2 linked regions of the Schizosaccharomyces pombe genome follow. The protein of the gene in region 2 binds, or shares a complex with, the protein of the main gene of each other region. Each region holds a gene or a part of one and is shown on either strand. Other genes may lie near its edges.

Evidence for each region.
Region 1: mrp7 (region 2) and rtc6 share a complex: the UniProt entries of both Schizosaccharomyces pombe proteins name them as parts of the mitochondrial large ribosomal subunit.

The regions. Positions count from the first base shown.
Region 1 is NC_003423.3:1,519,530-1,522,279, reverse strand, and holds rtc6 (mitochondrial 54S ribosomal protein bL36m), read left to right. Parts: upstream 1-1,789; coding exon 1,790-2,068; 3' UTR 2,069-2,250; downstream 2,251-2,750. Other genes in the region: Lid2 complex histone demethylase H3-K36 subunit Jmj3, read right to left, coding at 1-836, 893-1,009; RNA-binding protein Yme2, read right to left, coding at 2,291-2,750. UniProt on the Schizosaccharomyces pombe protein: Component of the mitochondrial ribosome (mitoribosome), a dedicated translation machinery responsible for the synthesis of mitochondrial genome-encoded proteins, including at least some of the essential transmembrane subunits of the mitochondrial respiratory chain.
Region 2 is NC_003423.3:2,856,415-2,864,528, forward strand, and holds mrp7 (mitochondrial 54S ribosomal protein bL27m), read right to left. Parts: upstream 6,347-8,114; 5' UTR 6,211-6,346; coding exon 5,749-6,210; 3' UTR 5,065-5,748; downstream 1-5,064. Other genes in the region: morphogenesis protein Mor2, read right to left, coding at 1-4,826; Lid2 complex histone demethylase subunit Lid2, read left to right, coding at 7,401-8,114. UniProt on the Schizosaccharomyces pombe protein: Component of the mitochondrial ribosome (mitoribosome), a dedicated translation machinery responsible for the synthesis of mitochondrial genome-encoded proteins, including at least some of the essential transmembrane subunits of the mitochondrial respiratory chain.

The DNA.
Region 1 (2,750 bases), 1.3 Mb from region 2:
GAACGAAAGACAAAACGTCGTAAAACAGCGTCTCCTAGACAAAATGCACTATGATGTGTGCCTGGAAAGGTTATAAGCAGTTCATCCTGTTTAAGGACTGTTGAATAAGTAACAATACCATTTTGTACTAGAGTTGAAGGGGGAAACAAAATATTCTGGTGAAGCAAAAAATCTGAACAACGCCAATGCTCATCTTGCGCAAGCTTTCCAGCTAATTTTTTAAAAGACTCACTATGTGCTGAAGGTATCACATACCATTGCAATGAAGAGCCACCTAAATGTACCTGAACTGCATGCAGCTCAGGAGATTCTACCCGCCAAGGAAGGGTAGTTTTCCATTTCCCAGCAAATAAGTGACCAACATTTGGCCAAGTGTTAATCAATGTATTCGATCTTAAATGTACCCTATCTTTTTGAGCAGCAGATATCGAAGGTATAAAATAGAAGGGGATCGATGGGCGATTAGTATATCCATACCACAGACTGTCATGGGTCAAAGAACGCCAATAATATGCAATAGCTTTAGCCACATTGTTTTCAAAGTCATTAGAACTTCCAGCGTTTGAAGGAAACCTGTCGTCGACATTCATATCGGTAGGCTTTTTAGGACCAGCCGAGCCATGGTCTATATCGCTTTGAATCTCGAAGTACTCTCCTTTCCGTCTCACCATTCGCTCTAACCATAAATCCATTTTTACATCGGAAGGTTTCATTGTATCTTCGTTCCAAGGATTTAAAACAGAACTAGGACGAACAACTTTAATTGCGCCGTATTTCTTGCCAAGCCTTTCAACGCGCCGAATAAAACTTTCCATATCTACAAATTCTGAAATTTTCTAAACAAATTTTGTTAACATCCACAAAATATTTAATATTTTTCGCGTAAACTTACTGGTTCCACAACAGGTATGCCATCTGACCCTTCGATATGATAATCGATTTCACACTCCAAAGAACTCACTGATGTGTCACTTTTGCCAGCATGTTTCTCTTTAACATTTTGCTGCATAGCAATCTATTTTTCAGCCTTTGGATTGAATATTTTGGTGTTTTTGAGACATCCACCAATTCGTGGGATTTGCTAAATTTTCCTTTAACAATCTTTTACCAAGGCAAATGACGCATCTGCACTCCAGTTCCATACCCAAATTAGCAAAGTATAACGAACTCGTTATACCAGCAACTAAAAACATAAACAAATTCTCAAAAATTGATCATTTCAAATTAATCGATTAGCATGCCAAACCAAATAACGTAGAATCAAAGTTATTAGATGATGCGGTCAATTAGCTATTTTAGGGACTAAGAAGGTCAGAGACTCAACATTAAAATTTTCATTTGTAAACAAAAAATGGAGCTACACTGTTGAGTTGACTCCACTTTAATAAAAGTATTCCTTATTTTAAAATAATGTGATAAATTTCAGGTCAAATTGCTCCACAGTAAGCTGGCTATTGAATTTATAGAATAACAAGACATGTTGGTTGTCACTAACTGACATGTCGTAGGTTAGCTTACTAGAAGCACTAACTACTATTTATTTTCCCAACAAAGAATATCCAACAAATCGGGCGTAAGCGAGTTTATATAACTTAGTATTCACCTTTTTTTTTTATGAAAATCTTCTCTTGTTGATAGGCATTTTCTATTATCGTTCTTTTTTGGCTCAGTCCAAATTGTGAACACTTTTCCATCGTACATCATTTATTTAGCTCAGAATTACTTCGGATCCAAAAAAATTTAAACATCTTGACTTGAAGTCCCAGTTTCACTTTTTTTTTAACTTATAATGGCTTCATTAGGTCGTAAATTTTTTGCTGTGGGTGTTTTGTCACGAGTCTTCCCTTCTGCTTTTAATGCACAAAAAGGGTTGTTAAAAAATGCATCTATGTTCTTAACCCCTGCTTTCAGACTTTCTCCTAGCCTTCTACCTTGGAACTTTTCAAGAGGTTTCAAAGTGAAAGCATCAGTAAAAAAGCGTTGTTCATCCTGCTATTTTGTGCGTCGCAAAGGTAGGTTGTATGTACTATGCAAAAAACATCCGAGACATAAAACCCGTCAAGGTTAATGACTATAACCGGTTTCGCTTCTTCTTTTTTTTTCTACCTAGGCTAATTCTTCATTACGCTCACTTCATATTACGACGATTTTTGGACTACCTACCAAATCCTTACTCCCTTCTCTCTCGTTAATGCGTAGTCATTAAATGTGATATTATTGTTGACATTATAGCTTCATGCTAAAGAATTCATAAAAACATACGTAATCTTAAATGATATGCTTTCGCATCTTAGTCGATTTTTTTCAAAGCCTCAGTAAGCCTTTCTATACTTTTCTCATTATCAGTAATAACACCTTGATTTTTCTGGATACGCGTCGTTAAGTAATGAGCACGATCCTTCACACCTGATTCAAGGTTCCCAAGGTCCTTTAGCATTTGTAGCTCCTGTTCATCATTCTTGATAGCATTGTTAGCCATGCCAATTAACGCGTTACATCTCACCAACTGCATATTAGCACTTAATACTGGATCATTTACAAGTTGCCGGAAAGCCGTAACATATACAGGTTTTCCAGCGTAGACTTTATCCGGTCTTGCATTCACTGTGGTAATAGTAATCAATTCTGATTCTTCCAAGGCACGAACGGCATCGTCGTGTCCTTTGAACAGTGGGTCAAGCATCAACATATGATAGGGTATATATTCATGTTGAGATAAATAAGTAATTAAGGTCCATGACTCTTCTGGA
Region 2 (8,114 bases):
AGAAGCATTCGTGCATCAAAATCTGGAAGCAAAGAACGAAACAACTGGAATGAATTACAAGCCAAACGTCGAGAAGGACAAGTCGTAGCCCACGATAAAGCAACCTCACCCCATATTTGTTTAAGCTCAGGATATGATGAACTCAATAACTCAATTGTCTTCAAAATCATGTTATGATATTTAACCAAATCATCCTCCTTCTTGGTTTTACCACGAAGGCCCGTTATTAGTGAGCTTTCTACATTGAAATCAAAATAAGCGTCGTCATAATCTAACCTTCCTTCCATAGCTAGAACTTTTCGTACAACATACTGAAAAATCTGCTGGCATTGCTCTTGGACTATGCGAGAATAATGATCAAATTGTATAAAAGCAGCATGGAGTATTGTAGCCACATCATCAGTAACTGTGATTATAGAAGGATTTGGAAGAATATCCATCAATAATAGTAAAGATAACTGGCACGGGGAGTAGGAAATATGATTTTTTTCACTGGGAAACAAATCCTCTAAATTTGCAACATAAGTTGAAGATAAATCCTCAAGACTAAATTTATAAACCTCTTGGTTTTCATTCGATACATTAGCAGGACAAACAAAAGACAGAAGGGTAGAGTAAAGATCAGAAAGAAGTTCTGTTTTCGCGAGATAAATAGTAATCTGTCTTGTACAGTCAACAAAAGAAAAAGTTTTCCTTTGGTAACACTGTTGCATTAAAAAAAATAAGATTACGGTCCAGTTCGACTTGTGACGCGAAAGAGCTAACGAGGTCCATAAAGCCTCAATTTCGTTAGGTAAATCATTAGTAAACTTTGCAGTGACTTCAATCAAATCAATTAGAATTACCGCCGTAAAAGAATCGAAAGTTTTGTTTTCAACATCCATCTTTAGCTCCAAATTTTGTAGCCACGGAAGTAAAACCGTCACCAGTCCACGTCTATGTTGATGACCATAATTGAAATAACGTAAACATTCTGAAGTTAAAGTGAATGAATCTTCAGTAAAATCGCTAGCAAGCTGTACAGAAAATAAGTATTGAGGTTTCAAGTATAAAGCGGGGTTGCTTGATTCCAAGAATGTTTTAAATTCCATCAATGCAGTCATAGTAAAATTATTTAGATGAAAATTTCCAAGTAACTCAAATGCTTTTAGCCTTACCGAAAGATTATTCGTGGAAAGGTTTACCAAACACAAGGGCAAAAGCTTTGGTTTACTCAAATTGTTTGGATTTATTTGAATAAGCATTTCAGAAAGCGACAAGAAATAGTAATTAGAAATAGTCTGCGAAATCTCTTTAGAAAAGCAACGGTTGATTACCTTCTGCAGCAATACTTCATTGCTGCTATTCTCTAATAATAAGGCGGTCAGGCCTTTTCTAGCCAGCCCCACTATAGCCTTGGAGGGAGAACCAAAGACAGCAGTAAACCAATTAAGCAGTATCTCTATGTCGAACAAAAACACTCCTTCAGTTAATTCCTGTTGTAGCTTTGCTGTACATAACGCGATCATTGCCTTAATAGCCAAATACTCGAGGTTTTGCTTTCCAGCTTCAAATGAAGCTAACAACTTATCACGCTCACGAATATCTTTATTGTTACCGCGTATATGAGCTCTCATTAGCTCTTCGCGATTTTTTGTAATTGCACGAGCAGGACCAAATCCAGTCCATTCATCCAATAATTTCCAACACGAAGCACGTCCCGAAAAAGGAAGAACCTCAGACGACGGATGCAAATTCTGAACCAGTAATACTTTCTCAAGTAATTGAGAAAAGTAGCACCTTAATTTCAAATACTTCTCATCTGCTTGGACATTAGGAGTACTCAAAAATCCCTTTAAATCTTTCAAAAATTCAGATATAACAGACAACGCTTCACGGTCTTCATTTAATAACTCATGCAATAAGAGATGTGATGTCATTGCAAAAATGTGAGCTATTTCAGATCGCAATAACAAATCAGGTTTATTACGGCGCTTCACAGAAGGGAAGTTTAAGCCTGCAAAAATAAACTCTTGATGATCCTGTTTGAGCACAGATATATACGGCTTCAAAGAACGTACTAATTGTGGAAAGGCGTTTACGTTTATACAGCCAATAGCAAAAACAACAGCTTCACGTATAGGAGAAAATTCAGTAAAAATGAGAGGCAATACCATACTAAAAAGACTTTCTGCGCTAGTTATCTTTATGGTTTCCTGTAAACCACGTAAATGGTTTCCAGATTGAACAGCAGTAAGTGTCCTCCTAAGGTCAGTGTGCGAATAATCCACGTTAGAAGTGTATGTAATTGTACAACATGCAACAATAAGGTACAGCTTCCACTGAACTAATAAAAACTCAGGAAAATTATCATTTTTTACAGCAGACTTCAAGTTAAAGTTTAATTCCGAAGATTCAATACGCGATAATAATTGCATAGTAATACTCGGAAGTTTCTCACAAACAGTATTTCTAAGCAATGCCATAGTGGTAGGAAATCTTTCAAAACAAACCTTTATAAAGCGAGGAAATACATTGTACCATATTGAAATGTCAACGCCGCTGTTTGACGTAGCTAGTTTCAAAAGCATATCCTTGGTTCCATCGTTGATAAACTTGCGCAATCGTGACCTTTCAGCAGCAGTCGGTAAGTGACTTTCGACACTCAAAATTGAAGAATCGCAATCTTTCAGAACATCGACAATTGTCGGTTCAGAATATATGTCACCAACTTCAACTTTATCTGAAGAAAGCATCAAATACTCCGTATTTAATTGCTTAACATCATTAAGCAAAGCCACTGCAAACTTACGGATTCCAACTGATGGTGAAGATAAATGAAGTACACCAAGTGATTGAATTTCTTCAATTATCGTCCAACTTTGAATGTCATCATAATCTTGTTTTACAGAGGCAGGAGTATTGCTTTCAGAACTTGCACACGATTTATTACTAAGGACAGAATTCCTTTTTTCAATAACTGCTTCTTGCTGACTGATCCAAATTCTAATAACTTCATGGTAAGTTCGTAACAAGTACTCTGAACCCTTAACCAATTTCCGAGAAAGACAAGATATCACTGACTTCGACATTTTAAGCCCAGAAGAAAAGTATATCAAAGAGTTATGACAAACAGTATGGATTATTTTGTTTGAACAATTCAAACACTTAACATATGCATCAATTACACGTTGTTCTAATTTTCCCATGAGACAAGGAAACACTTTGAGTGCATTAATGTACAAAGCAAGCAAACTGGTTGCATTTTTTGAATCAAGGTAACAGTTGGTATTAGTGGAGAGCTGAAAAACGAGGAATAGAAGCTTTTGCGAAAGATTATGAACAAATTGTTGTAATGGAGTTCCGACGGCAACTTCATGTAAATCAACGAACTCAAATTCAATATATTCGAATATAGTACTATCCGATTTTTTGTACTTCATGTCGTGCAGAATGTAATAAACAGACCGAACAACAATCATTAATTTCTCAGGGCCAATATTCTCGGTAAAAGCATCAGTAGACAAAGGTGTTAAAATCTCTTTGATGACAAGCTCTGGAAAATGAGCACCGACTACACGCACAATTTGTGCATAACCATCCAATTCTTCTAAAGTGGCGAATGGAACCACGCTAAACTTTTTGCCAATCGAAAATCCCGATTTCAAAATATTAGAAATATTAGAATTCATTATGGAAGGTTCTTCCTTATACTGATTAGAGTAAGTCCATACAACACGAGAAAGATGGGGTAGACCGGTGTTCCTTAATCGTCTGTCTTTAACACGAAAAAAAGCAGCATCAAGGGAGGATATCCAATGCTTAAGGAAGAACTGTTTGGGAGAAAGACATAGAAGTGTACAACAAAAAGGGAAAAAAACATTCCAGTATTTAGTTTTCGTACACATTTTCAGTACTACAGGATATATTGTTTCAATGGTGCGCGACCACGCAGGAATATTCACCTCAAATGTAGCTCGACTGATTAATGGTCGAAGCAACTGTTCCATAAGATATGCATATTCGATTTTCAAGGCTGTGTTGGCTTTCATGAAAAAGGAAGTCAATGATTGCAAAAAAGCAATTGACTCTTCTAAAAGAGTTGTTGGATAAAGCTGCAAACGCAAATAACGCATTGCTCTAAGGAGATGGACAAGAACCGTTTCTTTTTGCCTGGAATCACAGCCAGACTTTTCCAAATGCTCAATCTCTTCAATAAAACGATCTGATACCATGACGAAGTTAAATCGAGACATACTTCCCACAAGGAATGCAAAACTTTCCCAATTAGCAAGACTGAAATAGGATGACGAAACTGGTAAATTTTTAGCGCTTAGTAGCTGATGAAAAACGCATTCTAATAAACAAGATACAGTGCTTTCTTCTAAGGCATTTGACGGTATCGTTTCAGCAATCTCAGTCAAGACACGGCAAAGTATATAGATAGAAATAGAACTCCTCCGCTCATTAACAACCCGAGGAGTACCACTTGAACTTGTAATATCAACACGAACTTTTCTCCAACACAATAGGGATTCAATGACGGCAACCGGTTTGCTACTAGCTAAAGCTACAAGAGCTTGAATACATCTGTCAAATTCATTATCTTCCCCCTTTTTAAGAAGGAGGATAGCTTCTTGCTCTCCAACGTTGAATCGTACAGGTTCAGCATTCTTACCTTCGTTGGCATGATAACGAGAAAGAAATGATATTTTTTGTTCAGAGAGTCGAACAAACTGGGTGAAAAGTATGTGAAGCGCGTAATCAACTGCCGTATGGTCCTGCTTCTCAGAATACAAAGGACCATTTTCGACAGGTTGATCGTGAGCAATTTCATTCAAGCTCATTCAGGTTGGCATTATATGGTTATCTACTAAATAGACGAACTTCAAAGAAAAGGAGTATGCAAAGTAAGGGTTTGAGAGCAATACCGCTAGCCTACAGAAAAGTGAAGAAAAAAGTGTATAAAAAAGCTATCTCGTTAGTTTTTATATTTAAGCATGCGTAAGCAAATTGACTAGCAATCGATTGTTAAAATTTAGGCGTGAATGGATTCAAAACTAGAAGTTTGTAATGGCTAGCACTCCGAACAATAAAACCTCTCAGCACACTGCAACAATTTTTGCACATAAAGGAATATAACGCACTGCGTTGTAGTAGGTGTGGTACTATATAGTAGGTGATATACTTAAAAGTCTAACTTCAAAATGCCCAAAATAATTTTTAAATGAAATGTAAAAAAAGAATAACCTTCTGTATGTTTGGTCAAAACTTTCTGAATTCTATGTCAGAAAAGATAATATGGTACAAGTTCAGTTTTTTTTAATGATTTTTAAACCGTGGCAAATGCGATTTTTACACGCTAACTTTTTGGAAACGAATTATAAATATTTGTTGAAAAAACTTGAAAGTTTAAGAACAACATATACAATGCTTAATTATCAAATTATTCGCGTGGAAAAAAATAGAAGCATAAATCAGTAGAAAAAGAAAGACATATACGCAAACTTGTATACGCCCAAGACAAAGTAACAAAATAAGTTATAAATTTAATCATGCATTCACATTTTTGAGCATTAGACAGTAATAAACTACGATGACCGTGACGGGAGTTTAAATAAATAATAAAAAGAAGAAAATGTTATTTCGTGCAACCTTAAGTTGAAGGAAATCCAAAGGCATTGATGCATGTAATTATTAGTATATCCTTTTGAAGTATCTCTAAATAGTGAGCATTGCAGGTATGATGATGAGAGTTTCCGCATGGTTTCATGAAACTTGAGCAGAATTAGCAGAAGTTATATACTTATTGACACGGCGAATTGTAGGTTCATCTTTGGGCCTTGGTAACGTTGTCTCTTTGTCAAAAACAACACCGACGTATTTCCTCCGTTTGCGAAGAGACACATCCATTTGAAAAAACTTAACATATCCGGAAACAAGAGAATATATTGTGTGATCTTTACCTAGACCGGTATTATCTCCGGGATGAAATTTTGTACCACGTTGTCGAATTAGGATCTCACCAGCCCTAACGAATTGGTTTTCAGACCTTTTTATGCCGAGACGACGACCAGCAGAATCACCTGTGTTTTTCGATGAACCACCGCCATGTTTAGTAGAAGTACGAATAGGAGGGAAAGTGAGAATATTTGATGCTTTCTTATAAGCTAAACTAGCTTTAAGTAATTGAAAATTGTTAACACGAATAAAAAGCCCTTGATTGATCATTGCACGGTGAACTTTGCATCAAATGAAGTACGTATTGTAAAAGAAAAATGTGTTAAACTGATTTGGCAAATAATTAGTAATGTAGAAGGATACTAAATATTAAAAAAATTATATCTTCGTCGAAATATTGGTTTATACTAAAAGGATGGATTCGTTGTAACCAATCTTCGAAAGTTTCTACCTTACATTTCCTTTATCCCAATTTACGAGTCGTGGTAATCGTATAAAATATTCTTATTTTACAATAGTGTAGCCTTACATTTTCTGTTTGAAATTCCTTACTCCTAATATCTCGCTAAAAGAGTACCATTACCTACAATTTACTTTGTTTATATTGGAAGCATGATCGCTAATGAAAAAAAAAGTAAAAGACACTAAATTTACGTCGACAATTTCTATCCTTCTTTTTAATCATGGAAAATTCACTTGGCTCTTCAATTCAAACAGCATTAATGACTGCATGAAAGAAATATAACTTTTTCAAAGTTTTAGCCTTTATTGTATTGTCTTTATTACTCAATGATATTCAATTTTACTTGAACTTTTAAAGTATGCAGCTGGAATCACATATAATAGATTTTTCTGTGCTACTAATTGATGTCTTAATGCAATTTCAACTGTTTTGTTCCTCAAAGCAAAAATTTATGAATAAAAACGGATGTGCTTCGTGTTACTAGTTGGTGGCAGGAACCAGCAAATTTCATTTTCTTGTGAAGAAACCATAAATTCTACCTTGACAGCGATATGCTTCAAGTTATACAGTATATGTGCTGCCTTAGTTCGCAGGATAATGTATCAGGATATTGTCAAGCTTTAACTGGATTTGATTATACTCGGAAACTTCCTTAGGTTAAAAACTTTTAAAATTGGCATAAAATCTTTTTCTCGTGGATCTTCCAGCCATAGCACGACAGGGAGTACTAATTAAAGTACGTTTTGCTTAGCTGTACCTACGTTAATGTCGATCTGAAGCTTTAAGCTACTACTTCCACCTAATACTGTCGTGTCGATCCCATAACGGTGTGTTATCGACGATAAATACATCAATGTACGCGTTTTTTATTTTATGTAATTTATTAGAATATTTTTTAAAAGTTGTAAAATTTTTTGGTATATATTTTTAAAACAGGGTGGTGTTGCATTTCTAAATATTTCTCCATGTATATTGATTATGCACTTTTCCGTTTTCCATGATATGCCAGCTTTTGTGGCACGAACATAATTCTATGGGATCAGGAAGAGAGAAGAAAATAAGAAAGCTAGGAGATAACTTTTCATTACCATATCTGAAATTTGATTGTGACCATAATGACAAAAATTATCGCGCGTCAAATAGGCCATTTGGACTTTCAACTGGACTGTCAGTGCAGTTGAATGCTTCGAACATGACTGATCCCTTTAAATTTTTGTTAGATAATTGGCATACAATTTTCAAAAATGGAGCAATTAAGCTTCTGCCACCTGAGGGATGGCAAATACCTGTTGTTCTTGATCAAGGCGCTTTTGAGTTTCAGTCAAAACGCCAATGTTTAAATAAAGGTTGTCTCAATTATGAAAAAAATTATGATTATTTTAAGAAACTTAAAGCATTTCATGAAAGTCGCGGTTTATATTTTTATCACCCACCGATTATCGGGAATCGCCCAGTTGATTTTTTGCGTTTGCGTAATGCAATCTCAAAGTTTACTAATTCCGGCTCTTCATTAAATAATGAAATTTTACATAAAGTCATAATCTATTTGCGTCTTGAAGATACTAAAGAAGTGAGGCAGGTTCTCACTCGTTGCTATGATCGATACATCAAACCATTTGAAAGGGATTCATCGCCATCATTCAAATCAAAAAGATCAGAGAGCTCAACTCGGAAAATTAGAAACACTCGTAGTTCAGCTCAGCAAGAATCC